Daphnia pulex: one gene and its partner. The main gene of each other region encodes a partner of the protein of the gene in region 2 in a complex. Links are inferred from orthologs where the notes say so. Each region holds a gene or a part of one and is shown on either strand. Other genes may lie near its edges.

The links.
Region 1: ragulator complex protein LAMTOR5 homolog (region 2) and ragulator complex protein LAMTOR3-like share a complex: the UniProt entries of both Homo sapiens proteins name them as parts of the ragulator complex. The link is inferred for Daphnia pulex from reciprocal best matches to the Homo sapiens genes LAMTOR5 and LAMTOR3.

The regions. Positions count from the first base shown.
Region 1 is NC_060018.1:11,746,943-11,763,684, reverse strand, and holds ragulator complex protein LAMTOR3-like, read left to right. Parts: upstream 1-5,965; 5' UTR 5,966-6,063; coding exon 6,064-6,069; intron 6,070-6,158; coding exon 6,159-6,193; intron 6,194-6,290; coding exon 6,291-6,349; intron 6,350-6,413; coding exon 6,414-6,477; intron 6,478-6,564; coding exon 6,565-6,637; intron 6,638-6,706; coding exon 6,707-6,841; 3' UTR 6,842-7,126; downstream 7,127-16,742. Other genes in the region: glutathione hydrolase 7-like, read right to left, coding at 3,314-3,492, 3,557-3,882, 3,955-4,147, 4,216-4,512, 4,589-4,998, 5,079-5,230, 5,317-5,481; endothelin-converting enzyme homolog, read left to right, coding at 7,882-7,899, 8,351-8,464, 9,145-9,382, 10,082-10,297, 10,387-10,676, 10,740-10,838, 10,926-11,102, 11,206-11,277 and 7 more; ATP-binding cassette sub-family F member 3-like, read left to right, coding at 13,512-13,599, 13,751-13,856, 13,917-14,121, 14,181-14,383, 14,452-14,556, 14,627-14,986, 15,050-15,232, 15,314-15,487 and 5 more. UniProt on the Homo sapiens protein: As part of the Ragulator complex it is involved in amino acid sensing and activation of mTORC1, a signaling complex promoting cell growth in response to growth factors, energy levels, and amino acids.
Region 2 is NC_060023.1:5,829,391-5,845,840, reverse strand, and holds ragulator complex protein LAMTOR5 homolog, read right to left. Parts: upstream 7,999-16,450; 5' UTR 7,818-7,998; coding exon 7,783-7,817; intron 7,719-7,782; coding exon 7,657-7,718; intron 7,586-7,656; coding exon 7,471-7,585; intron 7,394-7,470; coding exon 7,333-7,393; 3' UTR 7,321-7,332; downstream 1-7,320. Other genes in the region: mevalonate kinase-like, read right to left, coding at 1-83; dolichyl pyrophosphate Man9GlcNAc2 alpha-1,3-glucosyltransferase-like, read right to left, coding at 442-1,723, 1,783-1,949; transcription termination factor 2-like, read left to right, coding at 5,469-5,622, 5,687-5,811, 5,875-6,187, 6,242-6,249; trichoplein keratin filament-binding protein-like, read right to left, coding at 8,794-9,087, 9,160-9,265, 9,338-9,565, 9,624-9,755, 9,842-10,551; RILP-like protein homolog, read left to right, coding at 11,185-11,402, 11,480-11,715, 11,783-11,907, 11,974-12,177, 12,242-12,417, 12,505-12,684, 12,787-12,850; sodium- and chloride-dependent GABA transporter ine-like, read left to right, coding at 13,803-13,924, 15,384-15,607, 15,675-15,724, 15,793-15,895, 15,961-16,183, 16,250-16,450. UniProt on the Homo sapiens protein: As part of the Ragulator complex it is involved in amino acid sensing and activation of mTORC1, a signaling complex promoting cell growth in response to growth factors, energy levels, and amino acids.

The DNA of each region.
Region 1 (16,742 bases), on a different chromosome or scaffold from region 2:
AGTTTAAAACTAAAATAAAAAATAAAAAATTTTTTGTTACCCAATTTTATGTTCTTTTTTGAAAAACAATTTCGTTTTTCTTTTTTTTTTTTGAGTTCTGACAAAGTCAAGGATCCGTGCAGATGCGGGACGAAATGACCCCTAGCGACAGCTTGTTAACATTGCCGCCCAAAGCTCCCGAAAAATCATTTCAAATCCCAAATGATAGCCGACGGAAAATTGGAGGCGCGAAAAAAAAAATTTTTGAAAAAATGTTTGAAATTTGAATTCATTTTGGTTTCCAAAAAATCAGGATAAAATGTCGAGAAATTAATCTGATGGCTCGGAGCGTGGACCGACGACCTGTGTGTGTGTGTGTGTCAGGTTAAGATTTTTCCCACACAGTTGAACGGGAGAAAAATGTTGACTGAAAACAAATGCGCGAAAGGTCAAACCCTCTTCGTCAAACGGCACACAAGTCCCGCCGCCCGTCCGTCCGTCCGTCCTAACTCCTAAAAGTTTGACAAAAAAGAAAAATACCAGAGTTCACTCACTGTGGGGATTACATTGTCAGCCATCAGTTATCAAATGAGAGTGTAACAACATTCCAGCTCCCCCCTCAGCTACTGAGAAAAGGAAAATCTAATATTCCGCATTTCCATTTTGAAACGCAGCCACATGTGTCAGCTGAGCGATCAGGGGTGCTGCTTCTGCTGTGGAGGTATTCGGTGTAGTTGCTGCTGGGCCGGCCGGCCTATCCATCACGTCCGTTCCAGCATCGCTGTGACATCTTTTCTCTATGAAATCAAACGAAGCGGAGACAAGATGGAGAGAGAAAAGGAATGAGCCGAGTTTAACCATTTCAAGAAAAAAGAGCTGGTGGTACGATAGGCTCCAACTAATTAGCGAAATTCTAGACTCTCAATCATTCGCCACCGCAGCAGCAGCAGCAGCAGCAGCAGCAGCATGCCATCTTCATCGCCGGCAGCTCAGAGCTCAGTTCAGCTCTATTAGAAACAGATGGGCGGTGTTTTCTTCATGATTATGACGTGCGAATGCGCAAAGGTTTTTCAAACTGAGAAAAGATCTCAGTTGACCAGTCGATTATTTGATTGACAGTCAAATTCTATTTCGATTCAAACGGGTAGTGTCAAATGAATGGGAATGACTCCGGAGTCGATCCTGGGTGATGCCATTCAAATGTCGTCTGATATGGAGCGGGAGCGAACAACGTTACGTACGTACGCGTACGATATTTGCTGCACGTGCAGAGCCGTTGGGGGTAAAAATTGTTCCAAAACATTCGAAAAGATGCGCTCTCCTTATTTTGACTGTACATAATAAACCGCGTAGACGATTGGGTTTCCTAAAAAGCTTTTACTTTCTTTTCTTTTTTTTCTTTTCTTCTTCTTGGATGTTTATGAACTTGTGCACGGACAGAATATTATGTCTCGTCGCTCAAGCTGCGGTTTGGTGTCGTCGTCCTTATAGCTCCGTTTTCGGTGGGCCCATACCAGCCGGCCCAGCAGCCGCCAGCCACTCTCCTCCGAGCTGTAATATAGTCGAGCGGAGGAGGATCTGTCATTGTAACAACAGAGGAACAAGTGAGGGGGTGATGATGACGACCCCACGCGACTCGTTGATGTTTTTTCTTCTTCTTTCTTCTTTCTTTCCCCTCTTGACGCAACCGATTCCACGTCTTTTAAAGAGCATTGCGCTTGCCGCGATTGTTTACTCAACTCTTCAACACGGGCCCCCACCACCACCACCACCACCATCCCCTTGGATGTCAAACTCGGTTTTGGGGGCTCATCAAAACAAAAAGCGGATCAATTTCCCCACTGGAACAAAAAGAAGAAAAATAAAAAATAAAAATGGCAAAAATCGGTTGATGATGATTAATGAAGGAGCAATTCGCGCGTCAAATTGTAACCCAATCTCTTTTCAAACTTTGCCCACAATTTGTGGCCTTTTAACGAGAAACGGAGGGGGGTGTCCCCCCTATTTTATTTCTTACATTTCTCCAAGAATGGAGTTCAGCAAGTGGCCAACTGAGAAGTCAACAAATCTCCTTTTCTCTCTGTGTCTGCCTGTCTGTCTACTAGCTGTACACGTACCTCTTTCGACCAACTTAACCCCGAAAAAACACAAACAGAGAGAGAAAGTGTAATCTTATGATGTGTATCCCCTTTTTCTTTCTTTTTCTTCTTGGTGTGCCACCACACGTTGACAGGCGTTGCTGTTTTCTTTCTTTCTAGTCGACTTATTCCTCTTTTCTTTTCTTTTCTTTCTTTTTTGGCAGTGATCTATTGGTCTGACGACGAAGAGGGTGAACGCCTCTTCGGCTGGCTGTCGAGAGGTGCCGGGGTCAAATGTTAAATCCTACGGCGCTATAGCTCATATCTTCTAACATGGGCCTCTATAGACGGGCGATCGGCTACACACTTGTCATTTTCATTTTTTCAAAAGTTTTTCGAAAGAAACAAAGAAGAAGACAACGACGGCGCAGGGGGTGCACAACTCGGCCAGGCTGGAGAGAAACTGCTGGGCCCGACGCACCAACACACACACAACAGGGTTAAATGACACGCAACAGCTGCGTTGGTATGGGGTAGTAGTAGTAGCTAGTAGTATAGTGGCGCGCATATACTATTGGCTGTGGGTTAGTACACGGCCGCATCATCTTGTGTGGGGGTGACTGAGCCAGCAGGCGTCGCATTTGCATTTCGCGGGAGACGAACAGAGAGAAGAGAGTCAGTGTCACCCTCTTCTTCTTCTTCTTCTTCTTCTAAAAATTTGAATTTTCTTTTTTGTCTTGAGTTTCCCGACTTATTCCTCGAGCTGACACACTTGTCGCGTGATTTACCATTCACGACCCTGCAATCCGAGACGTGAGCGAGGGGGGAAGGTGGCCCAGCAACGACACCAGAGAGCTGGAAAATGAGAAACTCTTTTCGAATAATAATAAAAAAGAAATGTCCTTTTTTCGTGTTCTTCTTCGTTGTGTCTTGTCTAAAGAAGAAAAAAAGAGGGGTGAAACTTAATATTTTTTTTATTGCCTTGTGTGTGGCTACATCAAACGGGCAATAAAAGAGGAAGACGTTCCAAAAAAAAAGACCTAATAAAAAGAAAATGAATTATTGCTGATGATTCTTTGTCAGAGCTGAACTGAACTGATCGCCACCGGGGGGGAGGTTAGAACAGAGTTAAACAAGTTGTGCGCAGATCTTATTCTTCCGGATGGTTTAAACATTAAGAGGCAGTTGTTTCGTGCAAAAAAAAAGTCTTGTTCCATAAAAAGCTGGAAGCGTTTTGAGAAAAAAAAGGCAGTTATTTAAGGGCCGTATTTTACGGCGTAGCCGCCACCGCGGCCGTCTGATTGAGAAGACAAGGCATCGCCACTCTTGAGCACGAGATTAACGGACGGATAGGGCGGAGGACGGAGTAGGATCGTGTGACCCATTTGGGTCAGTGAATTGATTAAGATTTCGGGCAGCTTCGCTTGCGGCATATCTACGAATGAAATGAGAAATGAAATATTTTCGGTGGATTATTGATCCGCAGAAATCGAATTTACCTTCCAGTTCGAGGGAAGAACTCTGCGGTTTGGAGTGGATTCTGGCGGAGCGGATGGCATCGGCGGCTGATTGATTGAACTGGAGGAGATTCATGACGACCTGGGCGAGTAGAGTGGCATCCGCCGAGCCTGTGACGAACCGGGTGCCGCATCGCCCATTCGTTTCGGTCGCAATCACCGGTAAAAGGCCCTGCAATGGACGTTGGCCGGCTTGACCGCCCACATTGTCCGGCAGAGAAGGGTCGTCGTAGAAGCTGGCCATGGCGTTATTCAAGACGTAACCATCGGGAGTCACCAGATGGGCTCCGAAAACGGAATTCAATCCGCTAGGTTATGGGAAAATCGAATCAAATAAAAATTGGCTCGTCAATCAGTTGATTGAAATTCAAGCAAATTACCTGACGACAGCGACGTAAATCTCTTCATTGTCAATCACAGAAACGACTGAAGCGGCAGGTTCCGGCATTGAAGGCACGTCGCTGTTGGGAAGGATCACATTCGGGTGGATTTGCTTCCTCACTTCATCCGCCAGTGTTTTATTGGTCATTTGAGCGACAACCGACGCCACATCTTTTCCAAACAACGGGTCCCCTTTTGACAATGAAAAAGATAATAATGTGACATGAAAGAAATAAATTTTAATTTTAATAATTACGTACCTAATTTCGAAACTTGGTTTTGAGTCACCCTCATAGTTTCGATCATGTCGTGTGTATATCCTAGGGTCAAATAGTCCCTGACAGACAACTGGAAGCCCGATAGGATATTGAGAAGCGAAATGAGCTGGGGACCTGAAGTCGGAGCGGAACTTGTGTACAGAGTGGTTTTCCCATAAGTTCCAGTTATTGCGGTTTCTTCTCGAGCTCGGTACTTTCCCAACTCTTCCATTGTCCAGTCGGCTCCCGCTTTTGCCATGAAATTCACCAGTTTCATGCCCGATTTCCCCTTGTAAAATTCTAAATGAAAAATAAAAAAATGAAGAAAGTTAAATCTGATTGAAATAAATAGAAATTATGTCAAATGTGAATTTACCTTCGGCCCCGTTTTCATTTTGGGCCAGAGAATCCAACAGTTTACCGAAGGCTGGCTGACGAATGACTTGGCCTTCGGCGAGAGGGATGTTGTTGGGAAAGAAGAGCTGGGATCGGCGCAAGGGAGAATCACTCGGAATTCCTTGCACCGCCCCAGCTAGCTGAGATGACACGTTAATCCCGAGATTACTCAACTGGATGGAGGGTTGTAAAAGATCCGCCCACTTCAGTTTGCCAAATTTCTTGTGACTCTCCCACAGGCCACTCAAAAGACCGGGGATTCCCACAGCCAAGGGTCCTTGGCCGTTGACGATCAAAGACGCATTCACTGGTCCGGGGGCTGCGTCTTGAAAGTTGATGACCATTGGTGGCTTTGAAGTCAGGTGGTTGAGTATAATCATAGCTCCACCACTGTCAACATTAATTTTAAAATAGATTTTGAAAGAGGATGCAGGGATGACAAGCATTGCATTTCAAAATATTGATCTCACCCTCCAAGTGAAGTGATGTGAGGATTGACAACACACATGCAGAACATTGCTGCAACTGCTGCATCGATTGCATTACCCCCTTTTTGAAGGGTATCAACACCGATTTGAGAGCATTGCTGGCTGTCTGTTGCAACTGCACCTCGTGGCAGTATCTAAATGTGAAATTTCAATATTAATTTGTTGTGTAGATAGCAGGAATGTATAAATGTTGTCATTGAGTAGAAAAATGGATACACACCTCAGGATCTCCTAGATAGATGCTTATAACTAATGCAATTGTGACACAGATGCATAGAACTCCAAAGCAAAAGATAATCACTCTTAGCCCATCATTTTGTTGGCCAGAACAACAGTTCCCAAATCTTGCTTTTTTGTGGGTTGGAGAGAGTGGAATGGTTTCCATGATATTAAATAGTATTTGATTAATTGCAGTTTGTAGGAATTAAAACATCACAGCGACGAATTCTAAGGCTGTCAGATATCTTGAGTAAACCAATCACGACTATATATAGTTGGAGAAAGTTTTATGACGGGGAAGCGGAAAAATAATAATAATAATAAAAAAAAACGTGTAGGCGGGATCGCCCTGTCAAAACAAGACCCTCCTATGTTTTGTTTTGATTATAAGCTATCAAACAATTCGCTAGATGTCGCGGAAATTTGCAAATTACGCGCGATAAATGAATCACGAAGTGCAGTTCATGAAATATCAATTGTAAACATTCGATTACACGCGATAAAATAATACACTTCATTATAATTAATAATGTATCATTTTAAGTACATCAGATGTTACGTGGCTTAAGAGTAAATGATCACAACAAACTCATCTAGTGGTGACATATGGAAACATTAATTTACTGATTTTCCGACTTTTAGATGGCGCTTTTGTTAATAAATATTTGCTGACACTTGCTGACTTCTTCTGCTAATCTGCTATTGATGTTGTGAACTGTGATTCATAAAAAAGTCACAGACTTGACTAATGGAGGTAATGTTTGTGGGCGTAATTTATTTGTCAGTTAACGATGTTTTTCTTAAATCTTTCTTTAAAAAACTGTTTCTGTTTTCTTTCGGCAGGAATTGCGAAAATATGTTGCGTGCATTTTACAGCGGTAAGTTAAACATGGCTAAACTCTACCATTGATTATATAAGAAAAGTCTTGATAGGTTTATAAACTATGTTTATCTTTTGTACTGCCCTATTTTCAGAGTGGACGGTCTTTTGGCAATTATTATAACTGACCGAGATGGTGTGCCTCTAGTCAAAGGTTTGTAAATATTCAGTATATTGTGATCTCAAATTCATTTCCCGATTTGTTTTTATCTTTACAGTGGCCCTTGATTCTGCACCCGAGATGGCCCTTAGACCAAGTTACCTTTCCACCTTTTCAGCTATGTAAGGGCTTGTTTGTAGAAATCAATTAGCTACGTAATCGTATCCACACAACAAGTCAACATAATTTTTCATTTGTGATTTCCACAGGGCAACAGATCAAGCTGGAAAGCTTGGAGTTGGAAAAAATAACAAAATCATTTCTATCTATTCAAATTATCAGGTATAACAATTTTCAATTACAGACTATTTAAGAAAGTGTTGTGAAACCTTTTTCTCCTGATTGTACTAGGTGATTCAAATGAACAAGAGTCCGCTGACAATAAGTCTGATTGCCAGCAAGACAGCAAACACTGGACAACTGGTCAATTTGGAAAATGACCTTTTAGTTGTTGTTAATGATCTAGCTTCTTCAGTTGTTGAATGAAACAAAAAAAAAATCATTTCAATTCATGTTACAATTTTCATCATATCTTGAAAATCATGGGAAATTGTTTTCATCCGTAAAAAAAACCATGTTTATTCTTCCAATCAATTTTTGTGTTTTTCCAGTTTCGTTCCAACAATATCCATTTAGAGGGCGTATCACTTGACCTTGTGTTAGATCGAATGTCATTATTACATATGCCGTAGTGTGGCGCTTTATTTCGGTCATGCGATCCCACATTGGCCAGACAAATGAACGTCTTGGATTACACTTGAGAAAGCATTATTTCCTGTTCGATGCCCCGCTGTGATGAGGGAACCTTTTCTGTGCATCGGGTCGATATACATTTGGCTCGTCTTATTTTCCAGGTGGTGGCCAACAAATAGTTGTGAAGAAGACGCCACAAGTGTCAGATAGTCGTACGACGAGTGCGTTCCTCTTCTTGACGGCCGCACAAAAGCGACCTGGGGTTTTTATTATTGATCGTTCTTTGTATATAGGGGCCGGGCTGCACGACGTGGAAAAGCTGGCTGCTCTCTCTCTCCATTAGTGGGGGTCCTGCACACGCAGCTCACGGGACGATGGATGCAAAAGGGGGAAAGACGCGAGAGAGTTATGCTGCGCTTGCGCCGGGGCGTTTTCCCAGTTCGCCGCAGTAGGTTATCTACTCCCGGTGGCACCAAGACGTCCGGGTGGCTTGGCTTTAATTTTTTTTTGTTTTAGTCCTTTCGGACAGCTCACCGACCTCTGATGTGTGTTTCCCCCCCATTTGTTTTCCTTTTTTGAGTTGTGTTAAGGATTTTTGTTTGTTTCTGTTTCGCCATTCGCCCGTCGTTCACCTGCTCTTTTCGTCGGTACGTAATTATGGGAACGAAACCCACCCGGATGACGTCCCCGTGTACATGAGACAATTTTGTGTCCATCTTCCTTCTACCTCCAGTTCGATCTGACATCGACATCTGTCTTTTTCGTTGAACGATTGACCTGTTGTGTCTCCTGTTGTGCAACATCAAGAACAATCGGCCAGTCTCTACAAGACAATGAACAGCTACGTTCAGGTATACATCAACAACTTCCTCCTTGAACTCTTCCTGCTGTGTAGTAGTCGTAGTAGTAGTAGTAGTACGTCCACTTCATGCAAGAGCCTGGCCCTGTTTTTGTTTAGCTTCTGTTGTGTCTATGGGGTACTACTCTCTCCCAGCTGTAGAACTAAATCGATTGCCGGAGCTGCTGAGAGCCAGGCGAGAGAGAGAGTCAACCCCATCTTCTCCCCCCTCTCTCCTGTTTGCAACCGAAAAAAGATAGCATACTGTGTTACTTGTCAAGCTAGAAACTCTCTTGAGATTGTTAGAACCAAATAATCCGTTCCCGAGAAATTCGTGAAATAAAAACAACAACCCTAAAAGACATTTTCCTGTTTACAGTGTTCACTGTGATAGGTGATTATTTTCTTCCTGTTTGACTTCATCCGTCTTTTAACTCTTTTTCTTTTCGTACTCTGTTTGACAGATGACTTGTTACGATCACGGTGGCGTCGAAGAGGACGACAGCTCCATCTTGACGGCGTCAGTCCCGACCACCGAAACCGCCAACTTTATCAGCCCAACCGTCCACATCCGCACGGTGAGAGGCTTCAAATTTTTTTCAGAATGTTTAGTCACTTCTTATAAAGTGTCCACAAGACCAAAAATCAATAACTTTGATGTGATATGTACCGAGGCGTCTGTGTGAGTTGGTTTTTCCTTCATGTTTATAAAATTCTCCGCCTCGACGGATTATTGTACGCCGTTCACCGCCGTTAAATGCTTGCGCCAACGAAGCTTAACGGCTCAAGTGATCATTAAATATTTGGTTTTGGCTTTGAATTTCCGTTCTGCCAATGGGCGCTGGAGAACAAACAACCCAAAAAAAGAGTCTAAATATAATCCGTTCCGTGTGCGCATTATTTCCTTCGCCATCTCTCCCATCGCCTTTTTTCCTTTTAAACTCCGTCAAATGTTCCTCTTCTTTTTCTTTTCTTATTTTATTTCAACGACTTGTTCCGGCCATTACTTTCGTGGCTACGGAGCCTCTCCGTCGGCGCGGCCTGACAGATAGACCAAACTAAAAATATTTACCCTCATTTCAAAGCAAAAAGTTTCGTCGGGATTCGACCGTTCCTTTAGCCGTTGCTGTCCCGATTCCCCCCCAAAACTGCGCAATTCTTTTGTTTTCTGCCAGAAAGTTGAACTAATCAGAACTTTTTTTTGTGATGATCACCCACACCGAAAGACAATGTTGCTGATGTTTTGATTGATACACAGTTTCCAGTTGCCGAAGGCGGTGGAGTGGGCGTCTTGTCCGGATGGGCTCGCGTCCGCAACGGCTGGAAATCGCACACGGCGCTGGAGCGTAGCCTGTTGCTGGTGACTTGTGGACTGGTCACACTCATGGCTCTCGTCTTGCCCGCTCTCATCTCGGCCTACGTCAATCTCAAATCGAAACAGGACCTTCGTTTGCTTCACATTAGTCACCGAAGCGGCAACAGCGACTCGGCTTCAGGTTCATCTTCTTTGATTCTTTTATTTTTCTACTCTAACAATTTCCACATCGAAAATCACATCCAGACAATATCAGAGTTCCCCAGTGCGTCATTCGTTAGTTGTTACCCGGGAAACGCTTCTCGGGTGAAACTTATTTTGGGAGTAGAAGAAAAAAAGAAATTCGACGGTATAATTTCATTTGCCAAGTCACTCAGCCAGTAATTAGATGAGAATAATTCTGTTCTTTCTTCTCTCTTAAACGGCGACATTATTCCATAATTGGGGCGGAATTGGACAATGTTGGAAGGGGTTATCAATCGTGCCCGTCGATTTCTATGTCGTTCCACGGGTAACCAAATATCAGCCCGCTTTACAAAGCCTTCATTCTTTTTACTTCCCTGGGCTGCACTTAAATGAATCGAATATCGGGGGGTAGCAGAGTACGCTTGTTAGTGACTAATGAGCATGATTTCCCGTGAGATAGCACGCTTGTCATTAAAAAGAAAATAAATACGGAGAGCCCATATGCAAATGATGACGAAAAATAAAGCGACAATATAAACTACATTAGACGAGTCTCTGCCTCTGCATCTTTTATTGCTATCGATTAGCTGTCACAACGTTGAAATGGAGAGCCACTTTATTGTGACATACTATTTGATAACCTCTTCTTCTTCTTCTTCCTTTGATGGCCGCTTGATTTGAAAACGGAGAACAGATGATGGGTGTGGTTTATGCACGAGCACCGCTTGCGTGAGCGCTTCTGCGTTGATGATGTCTGCCATGGATACGTCGGTCGATCCCTGCCAGGACTTTTTCCAGTATGCGTGCGGGCGCTGGATTCGCACCAATCCCATTCCGGCCGGAAAACCCATTTGGGGCACCTTCGATCGACTTTGGCAGGATAATCAGATCGTCATGAAAACCATTCTAGGTATTATATATCGGCTTATAATAGATTACACATCTTTCTTCTCAACAACAATTCCATTTTTATTTTGGGTCGACTTTTGACTATTTTAGAACAACCGGCCGAGTCTTTGAGCAGCGAAGCGGAGAAAAGAGCCCAGCGCTACTATCAATCCTGCCTGGACGTCAACGAGACAATGGAAGCGCTGGGTGGCAAACCGGTGATTGACCTATTGACTCAAATTGGAGGCTGGCCAGCCATTGAACCGTCCAACGCCGAGGCCGAGAAACGTTGGGTGTTCCAAGGAGCTCTTCAAACTGCTCACAATGTCATGAACATGGGCGGTTTCTTCACCTGGGCCGTGGCTGAAGACGACAAGAATTCATCTCGTCATATTATTCAGGTGAGTTCATCTATCATTTTTCCAATATGGAGAATTAAGGCGAATTTCTTGTTGATGTAACAGATGGATCAGAGTGGACTGACATTACCCAATCGAGACTATTACATCAACAAAACGGAAAGCGACGAAATCCTGGTCGCCTATCTGGACTACATGACCAAGGTTTGTTTTTCCTAGAGCCGAGCTAGTTCTATAGTTGCACAGCGCAATAATCAGAGTAAACAACAACGTGTCGAATTGCATTTTTAGGTGGGCGTATTGTTGAACGCTGCGGTCGACCCGCAAGAAATTCGAAAGCAGATGAAGGACGTCATCGAACTGGAAACTCGTATCGCGCAAATCACCGTCTCGTCTGCTGAAAGGCGAGATGAGGAGAAACTCTATCACGCTCTCACCATTGCTGATCTCCGAAACCTAGCTCCATTCGTTAGTTATTTACTTTTTACCATTAACAACTAGGATGTTGGGTTTTATTTAATCATTTTAACGGTTGTATTTCAATTTTTCGAAACACACCTGATGGTTTCAGCTCGATTGGAATGCCTACTTTCAATCGGCCTTTTCTCAAGTCAACATCACACTCACGCCGACCCACCCGGTGGTATTTATAACAAACATTAAATTCATTTCTTTTATTATCAAGATGTTAATCTTTGATTTTTTTTTACGGTTAGGTCGTCTTCTCGCCAGACTTTCTGCGCAATCTCTCTGTAATCATTGAAGAACTGGTGACCAATGACAGAGGCAAAAGGTAGTAATCTATCGAGATTATTTCTTTTTAAACATTCCCGGAATTCTCATTGAATGATTAACATAATAGGATGCTCCACAACTACATGGGATGGCACGTCGTCCGCTCATACCTGTCCTACTTGCCAAAGGCGTTCAGAGAAGCGGGCAAGATCTTGCGAAAGTTGCTGATGGGCTCGGACGGCAACGAGGAAACTTGGCGCTCCTGCGTGACGGACACCAATAGCGTGCTGGGCTTCGCCGTCGGCGCCATGTTCGTCAAACAAAACTTCCACGGCGAGTCGAAACCGCTGGCCGAAAACATGATCGCCGCCGTCAAAGAGGCTTTTAAAAATAATTTCGATAACCTGGACTGGATGGATGACGAGACCCGACTGGCGGCCAGAGATAAGGCCGACGCCATCACTGATATGATAGGTTGCGTGCCGATGATGATGACGTATTATGGTCCTACTTTTCAACGGAAAGTAATTATAGAACTCTCGTTTTTTTTGGGGTTTTTCCAGGTTACCCCAAGTTTATTCTGAATCCGGAAGAGCTGGATGAGCTCTACGGCGACTTGAAAATCGAATCAAACGAATACTTCCTCAACAACGTCCGCTCCAATCAGTTTGCCCTGCGCCAAAATCTAATTAAACTCAACGAACCCGTCAACAAAACACTGTAATTCTCTCAATTAATTTAATATAATTCATCTAATTGAATTCTGAATGAAGCATAAGCTGCATGTTTCCGGTGGATAATAAAATTAACATATTTCCAACCTACATGCAGATGGGGAATGACGCCGTCGATGGTCAACGCTTACTACACTCCCAACAAGAATCAAATCGTTTTCCCCGCCGGTATCCTCCAGCAGCCGTTCTTTGATAATTCATTTCCTTACGCACTCAATTTCGGCGCCATGGGCGTCGTGATGGGACACGAATTGACGCACGCGTTCGACGACCAGGGCAGAGAATTTGACCGCAATGGCGACTTGGCCCCGTAATTCATATAATTTTAATTTTAATAATAATCCAATAATTATAATAAGAAATAATTATAATACCTAGATGGTGGAATAATGCCACGATCGAACGTTTCCAGAAACGCACCGAGTGTCTCATTCAACAATATTCTTCCTACACAATCAACGGTCAACCTCTAAACGGGAAACAAACATTAGGTAGATTGTTATTTCTACATATATGTAAGAAACAGTTTTTGATTGTCTAGTCTTTAATAGGTGAAAATATAGCTGATAATGGCGGGTTAAAAGCTGCTTTTCACGCTTTCGACAATTGGTCGTCTACTCGCGACGAGGAGCTTCTGCTACCCGGACTCAATTTGACAAGAAACCAACTGTTTTTCCTAGCATTCGCTCAGGTGAGAGTTGATTATTAAAAGTAGCTCACCTAGTACGATTAATCAGCGCTAAATTGATATTGTGTGAGAAGGTGTGGTGCTCATCGAGCACAAAGGAAGCCCTCCATCTGCAGATATTGAACGATCCACATTCGCCAGCCCGTTATCGAGTGATAGGACCTGTGTCCAATATGCCTGAATTCTCGTCAGTTTTTAAATGCCAGCCGGACACTCCGATGAACCCGAAAAATAAATGTGAAATTTGGTAGTTATACTTCCGTGGGTTCATAAAAACGACCTAATCAGAAATACGTTTTTGGGACAAATCTTTGACGCAACTACATTTATCTTCCCTCTTATTGTGTTTGATCTTGGTGTTAATATTTATTATGTGGACAAAACTATACCCCTTGCCAAACCAAATCATATCATAAAAAAAATGATGTGTCGTCGTCCATGATCTCCCAATATCAGTCGTGGGGTTTCATTATAATCATACGTGTTTTCCGTTTAAAAAAAATCATTATCTCTCATGGCCGATTTTAATATTACTATTCTGTAATATCCACGATGAATCAAAAGAAAAATAATGAATACAGCTTTTAAAAACGCCAACGATATTGAAAAAAGTATTAATCGCGATACTTGGACCCTAACAATCGATCATGCTATAAATCGTTTGAACTTGAATCGATTCGTTGGTTCTATTTCTTTCCTTTATTTCTCAAGTAAATAATAATGTCGGAGGCGAAAAGCTCTGCAATTAGTAAAATTCTGAGATCCGAATTTTCTCAGATTGATGACAGCATCTATCAGTATATAGAAGGTGATTGTTGAACAGGATTGGGGTTTTCATTTTTGGTGTGGGGCATGGGAATTGTTTCCTTCGACAGCACGAAATACGTGTAAACCATGTGCTTTGAGACGTCTGAAAAGTGCTAATAGTGTCCCTATTTTTCATTTCACTTTTGATTTAGGTGTATTGGATGTTGGAGATGATTTTCAAAATTCTAATGAAGTCTACGAAGCAATTGGAGAAGTCCTTCATGAGGTCGCTGCCAACAAAGGAGAGGACGAGATCAGGTACTTTCAACTTTTTGCTTCTAAATCACACAACATTTTATATTCTTACTTGTTATTTAGGAAACTATGCCAACAGCTCTTGACAGTTTTAAAACCTGACTTGGTTGACGGCCAGCAGAATGGAGTACATTCTAGTTACAATGGCGGTGAAAGAAAACTCCTCAACAATCCAGTTATGATGAGTGATGCTGCGTCATTCATGAAGGAAAATGATGGAGAGGCCCCAGCTGCAAGTATATGGAATAAACCCAAAGGAGAGGATATGGTAAGTGAGTTCTGTAAATGTTTTCTTAAATCCTTTGTTAAACAAACTTTTGTATGCAGAAAGTTGACACTAGAAAATTGGAAAAGGCTGAAGCCAAACTGCAGCAAAAGCAACAGATAAAGAAGGAGAAAAACTCTAACGCACCTTCAAATGCTACAGCTTCTCAAGTATTGACGAAAAAGGAAACCAGAATGGAAGCCAAAGGCACAAACAATTGCAAAGATATTCGTATTGAGAATTTTGATATTGCCTACGGAGACAAGTAAGAAACAACATCTCTCCTCTTTTGTGCTTAATTTATGTATTTATTGTGTTCTTTTTTTTGTGTAGACTCTTGTTGCAAGGTTCTGACCTTTCTTTGGCTCATGGCCGACGGTATGGTTTTGTCGGCCGAAATGGACTTGGAAAAACGACGTTGCTTCGCATGATTTCATCGTAAAAAAAAATACTTAAAATATTCTTAGCTCTTCACATCATTCAAAATTCTTCCTTATCTAACTTTTAGTGGGCAATTACGGATTCCGTCGCACATTTCCATATTGCACGTTGAACAGGAAGTTGTCGGCGACGAAACTCCAGCCATTCAGAGCGTATTGGAGTGCGACTTCAAAAGAGAAGCTTTACTCAAAGAGGAGAAGGAACTTGGCGAAAAAATGAACGGTCCCAGTGCGGATCCTGAAATGAGCGCAAGATTGTCTCAAATCTACATTGAACTTCAAGCCATTGATGCTGACAAAGCACCAGCAAGAGCGGCGCAGATTTTGGCCGGCTTGGGCTTCTCTCCAGAGGGCCAGTTGAAGGCGACTAAAACTTTTTCTGGCGGCTGGAGAATGCGTCTAGCTTTGGCGAGAGCACTATTCTCAAAGTAAGATCCTTGAATTTAATTTTATTTCCTACACAGTGATTTAAATGAGTTCTAACATTTTAGGCCAGATTTACTCCTTCTCGATGAACCGACGAACATGTTGGACATGAAGGCTATCATTTGGCTCGAGGATTATCTTCAAAATTGGCCTTCCACTCTGCTAGTAGTTTCTCACGACCGAAATTTCTTGGACTCTGTTCCTACCGATATCATTTTTCTACATGCGCAATGTCTAGAAAGTTACAGGTATAACTTTGGCCGACTACTTATTATTCCTTTGCTTCTCGAACATTCGTTGTATTTCATTTTCCCTTTTGCAATTCCCAGAGGTAATTACGAGAACTTTGTTCGTTCAAGAACAGAAAAGTTTAAAAATCAGCAACGAGAGTACGAAGCACAGCAGCAGTTGAGGGAGCACGTCCAAGAGTTTATTGATAAATTCCGTTACAACGCCAAGAGAGCTTCCTTGGTTCAGAGTAAAATCAAAATGTTGGAGAAACTGTAAGTTCATCAACTTTCCTTATTAATTTTAATGACTAACTAAAGAAACTTTTTATTTCGATCCAAGGCCTGAATTAAAACCTGTAGAAAAGGAAGTTGAAGTCATCCTGAGGTTTCCTGAAGTCGAGCCTATTGCACCTCCCGCAATTCAATTGGACGAGATGTCTTTCGGGTACACTATTCTGTTTCGATCTTTATCAGTTTAATTCGTTCTATTCACCCGTCAGCCTCTCAAGTTATTATACCTCACTGCGACCTCTCAATGAATGCATAAGAAGGGAAGTTTCTAAACTAATTGTATGAAATGAATATCCATACAGGTATACTGAAGGGAAAACTATTCTCACTCGTGTTAATCTGTCGGCTGGATCCGACTCGAGAATCTGCATCGTAAGTCTTATGCAAATGACTTGAGTTTTCATAAAGCTTCAATCACGTTTCTTTTGTTGTACAGGTTGGTGAAAACGGTGCCGGCAAGACTACTCTTCTGAAGATTCTTACTGGCGAATATAATCCCACGTCTGGAATGAGGCATAATAGCCGGCATTTACGTATAGGTTATTTCAGTCAGCATCACGTTGATCAGCTTGATCTGTCCTTATGTCCTGTCGAGCTGCTGCAAACCAAATTTCCTGGTAAGTAACTACTCCATGCGTTTCCGTTGGACATGACATTTAATCTTGAGCTTTTTTTCCCCCTTCATTCCAGGTAAGCCCATCGAAGAGTATCGGCGTCTGCTGGGTAGTTTTGGTGTATCCGGTGACCTTGCCCTTCAGAACATTGCTAGTCTCTCTGGAGGTCAGAAATCTCGCGTGGCCTTTGCTGTCTTAGGAACAGCCCGGCCCAATTTCCTCATCCTCGACGAGCCGACCAATCACTTGGACATTGAAACGATCGAAGCCCTTGGAAAAGCCTTGGGGAAATATCAGGTGAGTGCGACTTGTGCTTTAGATGAGATTGGGAAAGTTGTATTTTACGACGATTGGGCAATCTATTTCTAGGGTGGCGTCGTTCTAGTTTCTCACGACGAGCGACTTATCCGAATGGTCTGCAAGGAGTTGTGGGTCTGCGCCGGCGGTTCGGTACGCTCGATTGAGGGCGGATTCGACGAATATCGCAAGATGGTGCAGAGAGAACTCCAAGAGGTCAACAAATAGCTTAATTAATTGTAAATAAGCCCCTATTGGTAAACGAATTTTTTTTTAACCTGTTACCTTACGGATCTTATTGCTTTTTTTGGTCATGATGCGATGAG
Region 2 (16,450 bases):
ACCGCATGTTCACCAGTAAGGATAAGCTTTCCCGGTGTTTTAATTACGAACTTTCGGACGGTTGATTCTTGAGTTTCTCCCATTGCTCTGGAGTCAATGTTTTCTGACTGAAGGCGTGAATGGATTTCAGTTCTTCTTCAAGTACAGAATTCACCAACCTACAATTGAAAAGATTACTATCAGCTATCACGTTTTACCGTACTAAATATAACAAACAACAGTATCTTTACCTATGGCGTTGGAGAAGAGGTTTGCCTTCAAACTGCTTGGATACAACAATGACTGAGATTTTTGCCCCGCAGCCGTCTGAAAGGTCTTCTACCTCCTATGGAAAAGAAAAAGAAAACCTGAATTTCTTGTCAAAGATTGAATAACGTGTTGTCTAGATAATGTATAAAGCAACAAGTTTGTGTGTCCAATTGTAAATTCCTATTTATTTCTTCACTGCATTTTTAACTTCAAGGACTGAGAGCCGACCCAAAATTGAACATATAGAAAATAGGCGAAAAAAACTGAAAAATGTGCAAAACTCCAAACAGAAACCAAGAGTGTCCACAAATAGGGATAGGCTGGCGGATTGGGACAAATAAGAAATAGTAAAGCCAAAACGGCACTTCCAATCGCCGAAATGCCAGCTAGACATTTGAACTGCATGGATCTACCCATCTCAAGTTTCAAGCTGCTATTAGCCAACAAACAATACAGGGCGAGTACGGCCCCGGCAGGGAGAATCAAATCGTCTTTGGCGTACAGTGGTAACATGGAGAAATGAGAAATGGAGAGAAACCAGAAGGCAGTGAACGGGAAATAAGGACTCGCTATGGAAACAGGCAACGTTACTAAAAGGATTGATTTCTCATGAACGTGATAGGAGAACAGGAAAAAAGCCAGAGACACGTTGATCAAACAGAGATGTAAATTGCGCAAACTATTCTTAAAGTATAGATGAAGTCCACAAGGGAAACTGAACAGAGCAGTCAGCAGTAAACAATAGCTAGCAATGGAGGTGGGTTCCAATATTCGTCGGATTTTTACCAGAACATTCAAGGTGCACCAAAAATTGGCAACATAATCTTCGAAAATCCCACGGTTAAAAGGAAAGACTCGGGAGAGAACTTGTTGTAAAAGACCATCATGAAGTTGTAGAAATGGATACCAAATGAGGGCAAATGTGGCCAATGTAACAACCCCAATTTTGATCAAATTTACCAATTGAGACATTAAGGTGGAAGCTTTGCGATGACAAGAAGCCAGCAAATAGAAGAATATGGGTATGGCATGATAAAGCTCCATCTGCTTAAAATTGAGTGCAGCTGAAAAAGCAACTGCAGCCCACAGATTTCTTCCTTTGGAAACAAAAATAATTGCCCACAGTGCCAGACCCAGGGAAACCGAGTTGTACTGGAAGTGACCATAATCTATAAGTGTGAGGCCAGGATGGGAGCATAAAGCAAAGAAAACCCATTTGTACTTGTTATCCATTTTTAAGTTTTTGATGTAAAAATAGAGTGCACTAATAAAAAAAAGGCAATCAGAAACTAGAACACTCATTCTCATGAAAAACTGGTGATTGGGACTCTCAAATCCACGGGATGCAAGGAGGTTAACATAATCTGGGTTGATTTTCTTAGCCATCAATCCAGTTAAATAGCTGTGGTAGGCTGTCAAAGGTGGATAGTCCAGGCCCCAGTACAGCAAATCATTGTCTGTTGTATTTCTATACCTAATAAGATGGATATCCTAAGAATCATTTCAGCTAACCTCTTTCGACATCAAACCTACCAATCCTGAATGGGCAAGTTAACAGTGATCTCCATCCAGTGTCTCTGTGCTTCATAGTCACCAAACATTGGAGGATTATTCTTGCCAGAATACGGAAAGAGCGAGACACCAAGTTTAATGATGACCGTAGTCAAAGCAATCACTTCTAATTTGAAGGGGACATCCATAGCGAATGCTTTTTTGAAAGGCGAGCGGCAAGATGGTCAGTGACTCTTATAATGTCTATGATAAGAGTGTTTCTTGAAGAACAGACTTACGGGTTAAAATGAAAAAAAAGTTAATCTTACGCAGTGAACAGTTTCCAATGTAGTTTGCAGTTTAAGACGCAAAGCTTCAGTTAAATTGGCCATCGAAATTTGTAGAAAAATTTGTGACGTTTTCCAATGCTGTTACAGCTGCTACTATCTTGCTACTATCCTGTAATTTCGGCTGCTGTGCTACGTGTAAAACTTAAGACAAGATGAGATCGGAGTTTCGGATTTTATCTTTCGCGTAGTACAGTATTACTACAGTCATTATTGGCTTTTTGGCCAAACACACTGTCATGTTTTATTTTTTTCTTTGAACTCCATAATTTTCCTCATGGGTTTTACACAAGAAGAAAATATAATTGCGAATTTGGTTTTAGTTACTAACAACCCCGCTCGGCGTCACGGCTCGATCGATATAAGTCTCCAATGCACATTTCTTGTGAAGATATTTAAAAATTAAAAGAAATTTGCGTTTTAATTTTGAGAGGACGGAAGAGGTGCTCGTTGGTTGTCTCCACCTAGCGCTAAGAATTCTAAACTCTTCCATGGTTTTTAGAAAGAAAACAAACAGAATCCAGAGAATCACCAGAGAATCCCATATGGGGCTCTTCGGGATCTGTTTTATTTAGCCGATTTATCTGGCAACGCAGCATGGCGCCAGTCTTTTTTGAGGGAAGAACGGGGAGAAGAGGGAGAATGGGACGAATGGGGGAGAAGAGGAAACGTGGGTCCCCTTTTTTTTCGTACGCCCTCCTCCCTCCCACTCGTCCCATTCTCCCTCTTCTCCCCGTTCTTCCCTCAAAAAAGACTGGCGCCATGCTGCGTTGCCAGATAAATCGGCTAAATAAAACAGATCCCGAAGAGCCCCATAGCAGACGCACCTAATCATACCAAACCAAACCAAAACCAGAGAATCACAGAGTGGTCAACCAACAATCACCGCTCGGCGGCGAAAACCAACGAACACCTACATCAATTTCTAAATATCACCGAAATTAAATAATTCCCGCATAGGGATAATTTAATAGACTCTAGCTCATTTTTGAAGCTCGATTCATTAAAGTAACAAAAAATAATGGTAGCCGACATAGGATTTGTCGAAGTGACCCGTCCACTAGCTTAAGTAGTCCATGATAGAGCAAACCAATGACGCGTACCCCACGCCATGGCAACCTCGCGGCGGCCATATTATGTTGACTTTCACCAGAGCTATAGAATACTGGTACCGCCACTCATATGACGAACACTTCCATTGCTTTTTTTCTCTGGAAGTGAAGCCTGCTTGCCTGCCCTGCTCCTTAGCTATAAGCGCCACGGCGGGTGTGTGGGGAAGTAGGGTATAGGCATGGTAATAGGAATGGAGGGAAAAGTGGAGGAGTGGCAAGAAGCGAGATCGATATCTTAGCTCCGATTTTCACTATCGATTGCTAAAGTTGGCTTCAGCCCCAGAGAAAATTTCCGAGAGGAAGAGTTAACATGGCAGTGGCGCTACCGCTACCAGTATATTCTATGGCGCTGCTTTCACTTTGGGCGATGAGGAGTTCTTATGGGTTTTGGGGGGTCCCTTAGATTTTAGTCTGTAGTTTTACTCCAGTTTAGAATGGTAAAACTTTGTTGCAACAGAGAAATAGAGAATTGAACAGGACATTTTTTTATGTAATTATTTAATTTTTTTGAATTCCCATTTATTTGTTAAAAATGAATTAAACGCGTTGTTTACGTTTTTTGAGGGAAGAACGGGGAGAAGAGGGAGAATGGGACGAATTGGAGGGAGGAGGGCGTACAATTAATCAAATTTTGTTGGTTTTCTTAAACAAAATCTCACAAGTAGACAATGAATCGGGTTCGCAATCCAATCCAGGCCAGCCCAAGCCGCCTATAGAAACAATTTTGCATCATCAAGGGGAAAAGCCTAGCCGTCAAGTTATAACTTCAAATCCCGGCAAGTCGACAGAAACTGGCCCAGCTACTTCAGCGTCAGGAGTGAAACCTCTGAACGGTGGTGAGGCACGCCATAAGCTTTACATCCGATCATTGGTCAATAAACTGAAGGGCGTACGTGCTGGTCGAGCTTCATCTGATATTAAGGATCAAACAAAGCCTTTACTGTTGACCACAACTTTATTTCTACATCAACGGAGTGGCCTAAATTGGTTGCGAGACACAAACTCCGTCAGGTAATTTTAATCCATGTTACAATTTATTTATTCCATAAGGTAGATCAGTACTGTGTAACAAGTTGCAATCTAGTCCAAATATATTTTTGTTGGTTTAATAAATAAATAATAAATAAATAAATCTCTACCATTATATATAAACTTTCTATTCATGTTATTCATACATTACACAGTCAGTGTCAGTCAGGATGTTTATGAGGAGACAAAAAAATTAGTTTTTTTAAAGAAATTGTTCAGTTACTCTCAGTTATGGAGGATGGGGAAGAAGGGTACTGGTCGCTTCCTTCCTGTTTTTCTCAGTCTCCTTCCGACAACGGCGTGATTAGTGTTTGTGTTGAAACTCGCGTGCCTTTATTTGTTGTTTTCGATAAGTTAAAATGTGCATGTTAGATCGACACAGAATTTGGAAGCACAAACTTATTCCAATTGATTTTGTAAATGAGAAAAAATTGAACAAGAGTTACTAACTAGTCTGAATCCACCAAGTGCTTTGACAATCGAGTTTCCGTACACTGACCAGCCCGAGCACAAAAAAAAATATGATTACAGGACGGGTTTATGAATCAGTGGTTCTTTTTAAATCTTTTTCTTTATTATTTTAAAGTCTTCCTCAGTACGTGTTTCTCCCCGCCAAGTGTGTTTGGGCTAGTCACGTTCCCCTCCTTCCGTAAGCTCGTTGCGAATTAGGCTACGTAATTTGGTTCTAGGGAATAACAAATATTTAAATTTCTAGCAATTTTGAAATTTATATTACACGATAATGTTAAACAATGTTAATATGTCGATGTCGAATAATGTAAATATTTTGTACAATTTATCAAATTTTGTTGGTTTTCTTAAACAAAATCTCACAATTAGACGATGAATCAGGCTCGCAATCCAATCCATGCCAGCCCAAGCCACCTAGCTAAGAAACCTAGCCGTCAAGTTATAACTTCAAATCCCGGCAAGTCGACAGAAACTGGCCCAGGTACTTCAGCGTCAGGAGTGAAACCTCTAAACGGTGTTGATGCACGCCTTGAGCTTAACATCCGATCATTGGTCAATAAACTGAAGGGCGTACGTGGTCGTGCTTCATCTGAAATTAAGGATCAAACAAAGCCTTCGCTTTTGACCACTACTTTGTTTCCCCATCAACGGTGGGTTGCTCTGGCGCGAGAAACAAACTCCGTCATCAGGCAATTTTTCATAACTTTTATTTTGAATTAAATCCAAATTAAATCCTTATTTATAAATAGGTGGTCTCTTGACTGATGACATGGGTCTGGGAAAGTCACTTTGCATTATAGCTTTGATTGCAAAGCATAAAGAGACCCTGACAGCTCTATCTAATACACCTTCCGTTCAGCTTCCTAAATGGATAAAACAATCATCCGGAACGCTAATAGTATGTCCCGCCCCAAGTGTTCTAAGTACGTTATGGTATTGGATTGGCATTGATCCTAATTTATTTCTATTTTTCTTCTGTAAATTTAGGACAGCGGAAACTGGAACTTGAAAAGCATTGCAAGGCGCCGACCGTTGCTACTTTCCACGGGAAAGGACGAAAACAGCTTGAAGCGACACTACACGAGTGTGACGTGATACTGACCACCTGTGGGGTAAACAGATTAAAAGATTGAATGATCAGTGAAGAATATTTTTTTATATATTTATCCTTTTAGATCGTGGCTGCCGAAATAAAACATTATGGCCGTGAGGATATTGCTAGTGCTTCGACCAACTCAAAACCTGTTAGTGATTTTACACGACCGGAACTCATTCGTCAGTTAATATTGACACAGATTGAATTCGATCGTGTTGTGCTCGATGAAGCACACACAATTCGAAATCATCAAACGAAGCTTTGTAGCGCTATTTGTCTTCTACGAGCAAAAAGGAGATGGGCCGTTACTGGTACCCCTTTGCAAAATAACAAGGCAGATCTATTTGCTCACTTCCGGTTTTTACGTGCTTCGCCATTTGACGGTTTTTTGTGTAAGTAAATAACATTTTAATTTTTCTTCCTAAAAACTTAAGATTTTTTTTTAGATTTTTAACCAGTGGATTTACGATGACGGGGAGCGCCTCAAACTTCTCGATGAAACGGTTGTTTTACGACGAATGAAGGACGACAAAATTCAGGACACAAATTTGCCTCTGATCCCTATGCCAAAAAGGTGCATACAAAATTTATACGCTGAAACAAAAACAATGGTAAAATTAATTCATTGCATTTCCCTTAGGCACATTCATAATGTGTCAATCGAGCTATCAAAAGAAGAAGCAGATGTATATCAAAATCTACGACAACTCGTCGGCTATTTATATCAAATATATTTATATCGATATTATAAATTGCGTACAAGGCAAATCGATAAAGAAAGGAAGAAAAAAAGGAGCAAAAAAAACTAGCTTTTTACGTGTTTTGCTCTCCTAGTTTTTCAGGTCATCACTCTTTAGTTTTTATTTATTCTGTGGTACGGTAAGAATGGAGAAAAGTGATGCATCGTCCAAGAAGTCAACTTTTAAAAATTTTATTTTCATAATATTTCCCAGACTATTTCCCAGACAGGCGGAGTTCGGTCAGGCAATAATTAATCGTCTTGCGATTCTGCATTGGATATCTATTCTTTATTTCTCAACTCCCTTTCCAGATTCCTGAAAATGAACTATACGGATAAGGATCCCCCCCATAGGCTGGGATAACCGCGGATCGTTTATTTTTAAAAAACCTTGAAAAAAAAAAAAAAAAAGGCAATCTGTAAAAAAAAGCTACAGGTAATTAGGTATAGCGCAGTTAAAAATTTCTGCTGTTTACGACGTATACGCTCATGAAAATTTCTAGAATTTCTGATATGTACACAATGATATATTTTCACTTTTTCTTCCCATTGCATTAGGAAATTACTATTTGTAACACAAAATAGGCCCACATCTTTTAAAAAATAAACAGAAACAAACGAAATCGAGCACACCACTGCAGCTAAAGCACAAATTTTGAACCGAAGGCGTATACCAAAGGTTCTTATTTATTTTTTTTATCATGTGGCTTAAAGTTTGAATGCTAAGAAAAATAAAGAATATATGAGAACCTATTTGTATATCTACACAAAAACTTAGATTTCTCAGATTTTTTGCATTTATGTATTGGTTTTGTAGACGGCAAGAGTCATTCCCATATTCTGATGAATCAAACACTGACTGCAGAAACAGAAAAAGTTAAAAATAAATCAGCACTTAGAAAATAAAAATAACATAGAAAGACATTGTTACCATACCTTTCATGGTTTTCAAACAAAATGACAGGATCTCCTTTCCCAGGCTCTAATGTTGTTGCCAAATGTGACAGAGAAGTCAATGAGCCGGAGTAGTTTGAATTGGCAACACCTTGTGCTATATTATAAACAATGTGTTCATATTTATAAAAAAACAATTGTGTTTCAAAAAAGAAGCTTTTGTCTTACACGTTAAGCACATGCCCTGTCTGTCTGCACACAATACGCCCACTACTCCAGGCGAAGTCATCCTAAATCGACACAATTTTATGTTCCAATCGGTTTTTTAAATGTAACGATTTCTGATTTACTTACAATTCTTCAACACATTTTTGAACTTCTTTATCCATAATAGCAATGGTATTTTGTATAAACAGGAACTAACTGAAGGATATCAGAAACAGAAACCGACAGGCTAACAAAATCTTGTTGATTTATTTTGCTAGCACCTATTAACCATCTACAGTCTGCCACAGTAGAAAAGGAAGTGGAACTTGGGAAGCCTGTCAGAGACAGAGAGTCAAAACAATGTAGTCAAACTGACTCACCTCAAGGCCTGTCAACTGCAGCTGTTTATTGCAATTTCTGTTATTTCATTGTAAAACATTAGATTTGGATTTTTTAAAACGTAGAAAAAAAAACAATAATGTGAAAAGAAATTTAGTAGTATCTTATTAATTTATTATAACATTACTTTTTTTAGTTTTTTATTTTGGCCAGAATTTGGATGGTAGCGCTAGGTGGCAGGATTTAGCAGCTCGAATGATTTGGCATGGATGATTTGGTAAGACTTCTGAGGGTAGCGCGCAGCGCGTTAATAATTGATAGCAAACAGAGAAAAATTGGGATTCAGATTTAATTTGCTTTGGGAGACAAACCAGGGTAAAACATATCGCGATGTTGTGATACCGATACGGATTCACAAGGGAAAATTCCACTGTTTCTCCTTTGCAATGCGCGTTCCACGTTTACTGAACAAAAGCAGGAAGTATATCCATGTTATTTTGTAGAAATCTAATAATAGCTTCAATTATTTTTCATGAACAAATTTTTCTCTACTGTAATCCGCTACTTTCATCCAAATATAGCACTGATCGGGAGCAGAGGAATTCACGATTTAGACACTGACAATAAGAAATAAACTGGCATTCTGCGATCGCTCCATATATTTCCTGAAATACGAAAAAGTACGAAAAATAGCTGTGATAGAATGACATAAGCTGTAACTTAAAAATACACATTTTGTAAACATTTAAAAATTACGAGAAAATTAGAGCCGAGATATGAATCATTTTGATGACAAGAAATGTGCGTCAACTTTACGCTTTAAAGTCTCAATTTGTCCATGGCTATATTCCAATGTTTTTCGTTGTGAGCAGCTTCCATGAGCTCTTGGTGTTTGCGCTTCTGCCGTTCCAGATGATTAAACTCTTCTTCTCTTTGCTGTTTGTGATCAATTTGAGCCTGAAGATCTACTTTCGTTTGAAACTGTTTAGCTTTATTTTCCATTTCTTTCTTCTTTGCTTGATTATGATAGCTCTCGAGTGAATGAACCAGCTCTTCTCGATCGCGCAGCAGTTGCTGTCTTTCTTGTCGTGCAGCGATTATTTTTTGGTCAATCTAAATAAGCAACAAGAACCATGATGAAAAATTACATCTTAACCGTTTTCAAAATAACTGTTAAAGACTTACCTGCTTCTCCTGAATGGCTATCACCTCTTCAATTAATTTTTTTCGAGCCAACCTTTCGGCTTCCCACTCTAATTCCCGTTTTTCCCACATTCGCTTAGCCTCCTCCCTGTGAAGGCAGATATTCGACATATTATTTTACAAATGAACTTAAAATAATCCAAAAAGAATAATCAATTACTGGAATAAAAACTCGCTCTGCTGCAGGCGTTCTTTTTCGATTCGACGATGGTTTTCAACGAGTTGTAAAAATCGTTGAATGTCTTGACGTGTTTTTTCTTTTTCTAAAGCAGAATCACTTTCATTTGGGAAAAGTTTCTCGGCAAAGCTCATTTCTTTTTCCAAATCAGCGGCCACTTCTTTAGACCGTTGCCTTAACTTCGCTAAATGTTGCTTGGTAAGGAACTCCCTGAAAAGCAAGGTATTTAATTTGTTGTTGTTTAACAATTATCACAGAATATAAATACCCGTTCTGTTGTCGTTTTGCTCTTTCTTCTTCTTTCTTTTGCATTTCTTCCTTGATAGCCTCCAATGCAGCAGCGTCTGCCATTAGTTTATCGTGCTCTCGTCGTTTTTCATTTGCCTCAAAATCCTTCGACCTAAGATGGAATATTATGTAATAATGTATTGAATTTTTAAGTTTAATCGATGATAAGGAAAAAGACATGAGAAATATTTTACAAACCTCAACAATTCAACTTGCTCATCTAGATCCTTTCTCCATTGCTGTTTCTTTTGTAATTCCATCTTCTGTTCTATTTCTTCTCTTTTCCTTTCTTCCTGAACCAAGCGTTCCATTTGGACAGCTTCTCTTTTCTTTTCTTCCAGTAATCTTAGCTTCTCTTCTTCTCTCTGCTGCAGTTGAATTGTCCACATTTCTTGTTGTTGCTGTTTCTTCAACTCAGATTCAAATGCCCTGAATGAAGCACTAGTAGATTTCCACTGTTCATGCTCCCTGTTCTCGACAAACTCATTCAGCTTTACACTTTTTGAATGCCTAAAATGCTGCACTTTATCCTTCATATTTTCCCACTTCTGGTTTTCTTCTTCTTGTTTAATTTTTTTCAATGCTTGTTCTTCATTTAATCTGTCTCCTTGATACAGTTTCTTAAGTTTTTTCCTACGAGTTTCCACATCAATTTCTGTTTCACGTATTTTTGATTGACGGTGGCTTAATTGGGCACTTCTTGGGGACGTCCAATCGTCAAACTTCTCGTTTTGTAGATTGCAATTTTGAAAATACCTGTCATTCGATCGAGCCGTTTCACTTCGACGAGTTTCTGCTTCACGTTTACGAATAATTTCGTTTTCCAATCGCATTTTCATAACAGGCAGCGCAGCGCTGTACCTGTCAGGGTTTGAATAACCACTTCTGGGCCTGAATGAATTGCTCATTTTTAGAAATCGTATAAAACCACTCCCGATTATTTCAAGGGGAAAAGTGATGAAAGTTGATTTGTTCTTGTTTATTCGAAAAAACTAACCTGATTTTGGTCACCATGGCAATGGGTGTTGCCAGATCTTGAAACTACCTGAAACATACATAAATTATAAATTTTAATATTTTTGCCGTAATTTTTGTATTGTATAAATTTTTTTATCAGATCGAATGTCATTGCGTTGCAGTATTTTCTATAACCATGTCCATAAAATGTAAAATATATTTCAAACCTGTTTTCGACAAAGTCGATAGAGTAATTCTGCAATGACGTCATTCATTTGCTCTCCGCTGTTTATCACCTAAAGAGCCCTTTAAAGTCAGTGCGTAGGAAGGGTTTCTATGAAACACACATCCCAAAACAGAGTGGGGTTGTTTGTTCTTGCGTGAAGAGAATGAATAAATAAATCTTTGGTTTCAACAACTGTTTCGTAAGTTTATGACCAAATCGGAAAAAATTTTTATTAGTTATCCACCATTTTAACCGCAGACATCCCTACATGAAACCTTTTTTAAAACAACAATTGAGATCTGGGCTCTTGGAGTATTAAATCAGTGAAAGTTTTGTGTGCCAAAGTTCAAGATTCAATATGCCTTTGCCTTCACCAAGATGTGTGGAAGATCAGCAAGATTCTTCTTCAGAATATGATTCCCTACCAGATATTTCTGTTGTGGATGTGTTTGATCTTGCCTCTGATGTTGGTAATGAGTTAGAAAAAATTATTAGCATTCATGGAAATGAACTAGTTGAAGGGCTGATGCAGAAAGTCATACGAGTATTGGAACTGCTTGATAAAACCTCTCGAAGGTAAGTCCTTAAATGAAGAAAACATTTTACAAAGAGCAATAATGTATTCTTATTTATTTTCTGTGCTTGAATCTTAGGCAGGAATCAGAAAGGCAACTTGTAGAAGAATTACAAAATAACATCAGTCTTCTTGAACGTGAGAAAAGGGAGAAAGCTGTTGATAGGTTACGATATGAAAAGGAAATTGAGCAGCTAGAAGAAAACTGGAAAAAAGAAACACAAGAACTATTAGGGAAAATTTCAAGAGTTCAAGAAGAAAACAAGAGATTGTCTTCTTCATTAAAAGAAAGTACAGAGAAAAATGTTTCTAAAAGTAAGGTTTTCTCCTTATGATTTCAATCAAGCAATGTATATTAATGTTTTATCTAATTATATTTTAGATCCCATACCAAAAGAGCCTGATTGGGATTTATTCGAAAAGCTCAGGGAAGCTAATGAGAAACAGAGAGATCTGTTGCGTTGCAGGGACAAAGAGTATCAAGATAAACTCTGTGAATCAGAATCTGTAAATTTACATTTAAAATTTTTGCAATTATTACTGGACGTTACAGTACCTATTTGGTATTTTTAGCTACACAATCAAGTGGATCGATTGACAGAAATCAACAAGGAATTGCGGAGGAAACAAACTCATATGTCTCAGCAAATGAGAACTTTGGTTGAAGAGAGAGCAGATTTGCAGGCTCTACATCAAGAACAGTCGAGGAATTTGGCTGCGCTGAATAAGCGACTAGGTGTCGCACAACGAGACAATGAAGATTTGATTCAGTGCCAGGTATTCCTACACTGATTTGATACATTTTTTAAATTTTTTAATTTTAATCACTCTTTGAAAATAGAACGACGCACCAGATCTCACTAATAAAATTGTCATCGATATTAATGATCCAAATCGCCCTCGGTTCACCATAGCCGAACTAAAAGAGATTCTCTGCGAACGAAATGAACTCAAAGCTCGTGTTAGTGATCTGGTCGATGAATTAGCGCTTTATCGACCAAGTAAAAACCATTCCAAGTACGTAATTAAAAGCTGGGCAATTAAAAAGAATTATTATGGCTAAGCTGTTTAATTTAATGATTTTCTGTTTCTCCTATTTTGAAGTATTGAAAGGATGTCGCCTTTGAATAGCGAGTCGACTGCTTCCTCCGGTGACCCTCTTGCGTCGGAAGCAGATGAGTCTACCTGCGACCTTCCCGTTCAAGGGCCTTTACCCTACGAACCGGACGACGCTCCGTGGAAACGTCCCAGCTCGAGAAAAAAGGATTCGAGCATCCGAAAATTGTAAGTTAATTGGGATTCCGAACCGCTTAAAATCTTATGCTTTTGGCTTGTCGCATTCCTTTTTCTTTTTCAGTTCTATTTTTGTTTTGTTTTTGTTTTTAGGTTTTCTACTTTGTCTTCTTTCCCTCGTTTATTAGCTCCACGCACTGTAGATGGTGCTAAATGACCTGACGTTTTCCAACTTGTGATATTGAACTTGTATATAGTTCGGTCTAACCGGACAGCCTTAACGGCAGTATTGATTTGTAATCTCTATTGCTTTCTTTTTTCAGGTTTAAAAAACTTGTTATGTTGCCAAGTGCGGGACTTTTGAATCCACAGTGACCAAAAGAGTACCGAAAGTTGGTAAATCGGTTTTTCCCAAAAATCCCACGCCGAACAAAGTTTCTCGTAGCAATTTTAGTATAAAAATCGACTGTCATTTTATCGCCATGATTTAAAATTTGCATCATTTCAATTAAATGTGGCCATAGATGCGATCTTTACCTTCACAGACAATGTGTCAGTGACGTTCTAGGTTTTAGTGAACTGTTGGATCATCAACGGATAACCAAATTGTGTATCATTGTTCTATTCATGAGATACTCCCCATTTACTACATCCCAAAGACTAAGACATTTATTAGACGTTTGATTTGCAATTAACGACGTGGAATACACAGATGGCGTATATGAATTTCAAGTCTTCATTTTTCTTTTACCTCTACAATTGTTATTATGTTAAAGCTAAATGTTTAAACTTGAGAAAATTACAGGAATGTACGGTACCCGAATAGAGGTTAAACGGTCATAGCCCACGTATAGTATAATTCTTTCAAACATATGCAGTGATTTAAACCTTCAAAAGAACAATGGTTTTTTTTTAACCCACAATAATATCTCTCCAAGGACAAACGGTGAAACCTTCACATTTTTCAGTCAGTAACGTTGCGAGTTTTTCATGCGAGTCGACCTCAAATAGCCTCAGGCCTATGAACACCCGACTAACGCTCCCGTGTCACTTCGTTCGTTGGGTTTATCGTGATTTTTGTTGGTTTTCGTTGTCGTGTGTTCCCTCATCAATCCCATTAACTAAAACGTATCAAAGAATTTATCAAACTATCGCATATCTATAAAAAAATGAGTGAGCTTATTGATAAAGGCCAGTGTGATAGTCGTGGCGAGGTAAACGAAATATTCGAAGCTACAGGAAGCTACAAATCTTCTTCACAACATACCACCGGGGACCAACCACCTGAAACGTAAGAGCACAGAGGCGTAAATAAAAGTCTCATCCATATGTTGTTGCATAATATGTTAACTTTATATTTATCGGTGGAAAAATCGCATCAAAATGTCTTACACCCGTGAGCATTTACCTTACTTCACGAAAAAAGGTTAAATTGTTAATTGCTGTCTGAAGCAGAGCGCAGGATCAGTCATGTCTCAGACATCCGCTTTTGGTGTCACAGCTTTCATGCGTGTAGTCTACGCAGTTTCGGATTCAATGTCAATGTGTAGTCTAGCACATGCTTATTTTCAACTGCGAATAGGAATGGTGACGCACTCACAGAATCGTATTTCTGTTTTTTTGTTTTTAACAAGTTGGAAAAATCTCCACTTAGTTTAGGATAACAATGCATTTGGCAATTTGTTGAATATTCATTTAGATTTTTAACAGAAAACGAAAAATATGCATTTATAAATATAAATTGACAGGGAGTGGATTCGAATTCGACAGCACATTCCAATCGAACTAAAATTATTTTGGCGGCGATGTGCGTCATCACCCACGTGAGCATTTCAGCAATGTGCCGCTGTTAACAAAGTTACATAAATACTACGAAGTCTTGTGTTCCATATCGGTGGAAGACCGGAAGCTAGAAAAAAAAGTGCCCAATTAATATTTCTGTTGTTGTTATAGTTGGTTGAATTATATTTCTCTGACCTAAAATTTAATGTCCGTATTGAGCTTTGAGGTATACACTTGCGTAAATATTGTTATCAGGGCCGCAGGAGTAGGTTAATACTGTTAAATGATTGAATTATCAGTTAGATTGTGTAACAAATTCAAAATCATTTCTTTAAATATTTAAACACAGAAACACAACATTGTGAAATTTTATCTCCCGACCGGTACAGTTTTTGTTTGTTTTTTTCCCATTCGGGCTGATCCAAAAACCATTTGGAAATGAGGCTCACATTACATGCATGGAGATCCTATATTCCTATTCCTCTATTATTTTAACTGCAGCCATAATTTGACACGGCATATTGTATTTTATTGCACTTCTGCGAATATAAGTTACAGCCATAAGTCCATAACTTAATGGGAACATGTATGTTCACAGCTGATTGATTACATACCCAACTTAAGTGGGAAAGGGGGCTCCAGCAGGTAACCAAGGCAACAATGTTCAGCGATAACTGACAGTTGGTGTTGTTTTCAGTCTTCTGCTTTTACCCGCTTCCTGACGTGTGTGCCGGAGTTGCGACTCACGTCTCTCAGAGATAAGTCGGCAAGAAACATGTTACAGGTTATGTAACACCCGCGGTTACCTTTATTGTTTGTTATATGGAGTACAAAAAAAGGATTCGTCACAGCACATAACAATCACAATCGCCGCATCTGTAATATCGTAGACTTGATCATTATCGCCCGGTAAACTAGAACATGTTTGCATTTACTTAACAATATTGTGTTTACAACGTTTTTTACAGACAAGGCGATACTAAGACGATCCACACTGCATGTTCTTTGGATGATACTGACAAAATGGGAAACACAAAAATGGTGTGTGAAGATCCCCTCATGATTAACCCCAAAACTAAAGATGGAAAACCTAGTGAAGTCAGAGAAACTTGGACAAACAAAGTAGAATTTATTCTAGCTTGCATTGGTAATGTTGTTGGATTGGGGAACATGTGGAGATTTCCATATCTTTGTAAGTGTTGCATTCCAATGATACTGCTCACTTGAAACAAATATTCAGATAAAATTTATTTGAACAGGTTATAAGAGTGGAGGAGGTGCTTTTCTGGTACCATATTTCATCATGTTGGTATGCACAAATATTTGATAGTCACAATCTTCTTAAAAACTAGAATTATAGCAAGCTATCTTATATAGATTGTATGTGGGATCCCATTGTTGTACATGGAACTAGCAGTTGGGCAGTACACAAGACAAGGACCAATTGGAGCTATGCACAAAATCTCCCCATTTTTCAAAGGTCTGTGCAAGGTCACAGAAGAAAAAAACTTATTACAAATTAATTATCATCTTTTGGTCATCAAGGAACTGGTTTGGCCACTGTTGTCATGTCCTTCCTTCTTTCCACTTACTACAATGTCATCATTGCCTGGGCAATATATTACTTAATCAATTCCTTCATGGATCCTTTACCTTGGGAGAGTTGTAACAATGACTGGAATTCTGAGCACTGCTGGAATGGGACCAAACTTAACAGTTCCGAACACATGGAAAACAACCAAATAAGCGCACCACAAGAATTCTATGAGTATTATTCCATAAATAACACAATTAACTCAAACTATTTATTTTTAATTCTTCCTTTTTCTTGTAGCAATCGATTGCTTCAAATGACACCAGGAATTGATAACTTTGGCACAATGCGCTGGGAACTTCTAGCCTGCCTCGCAGTTGCTTGGGTTCTAGTCTACTTTTGTTTGTGGAAAGGCATTAAATCTTCGGGAAAGGTGGTCTACGTGACGGCCACCTTGCCGTACCTCTTTATAGGGGCATTCATCGTCAGAGCACTCACATT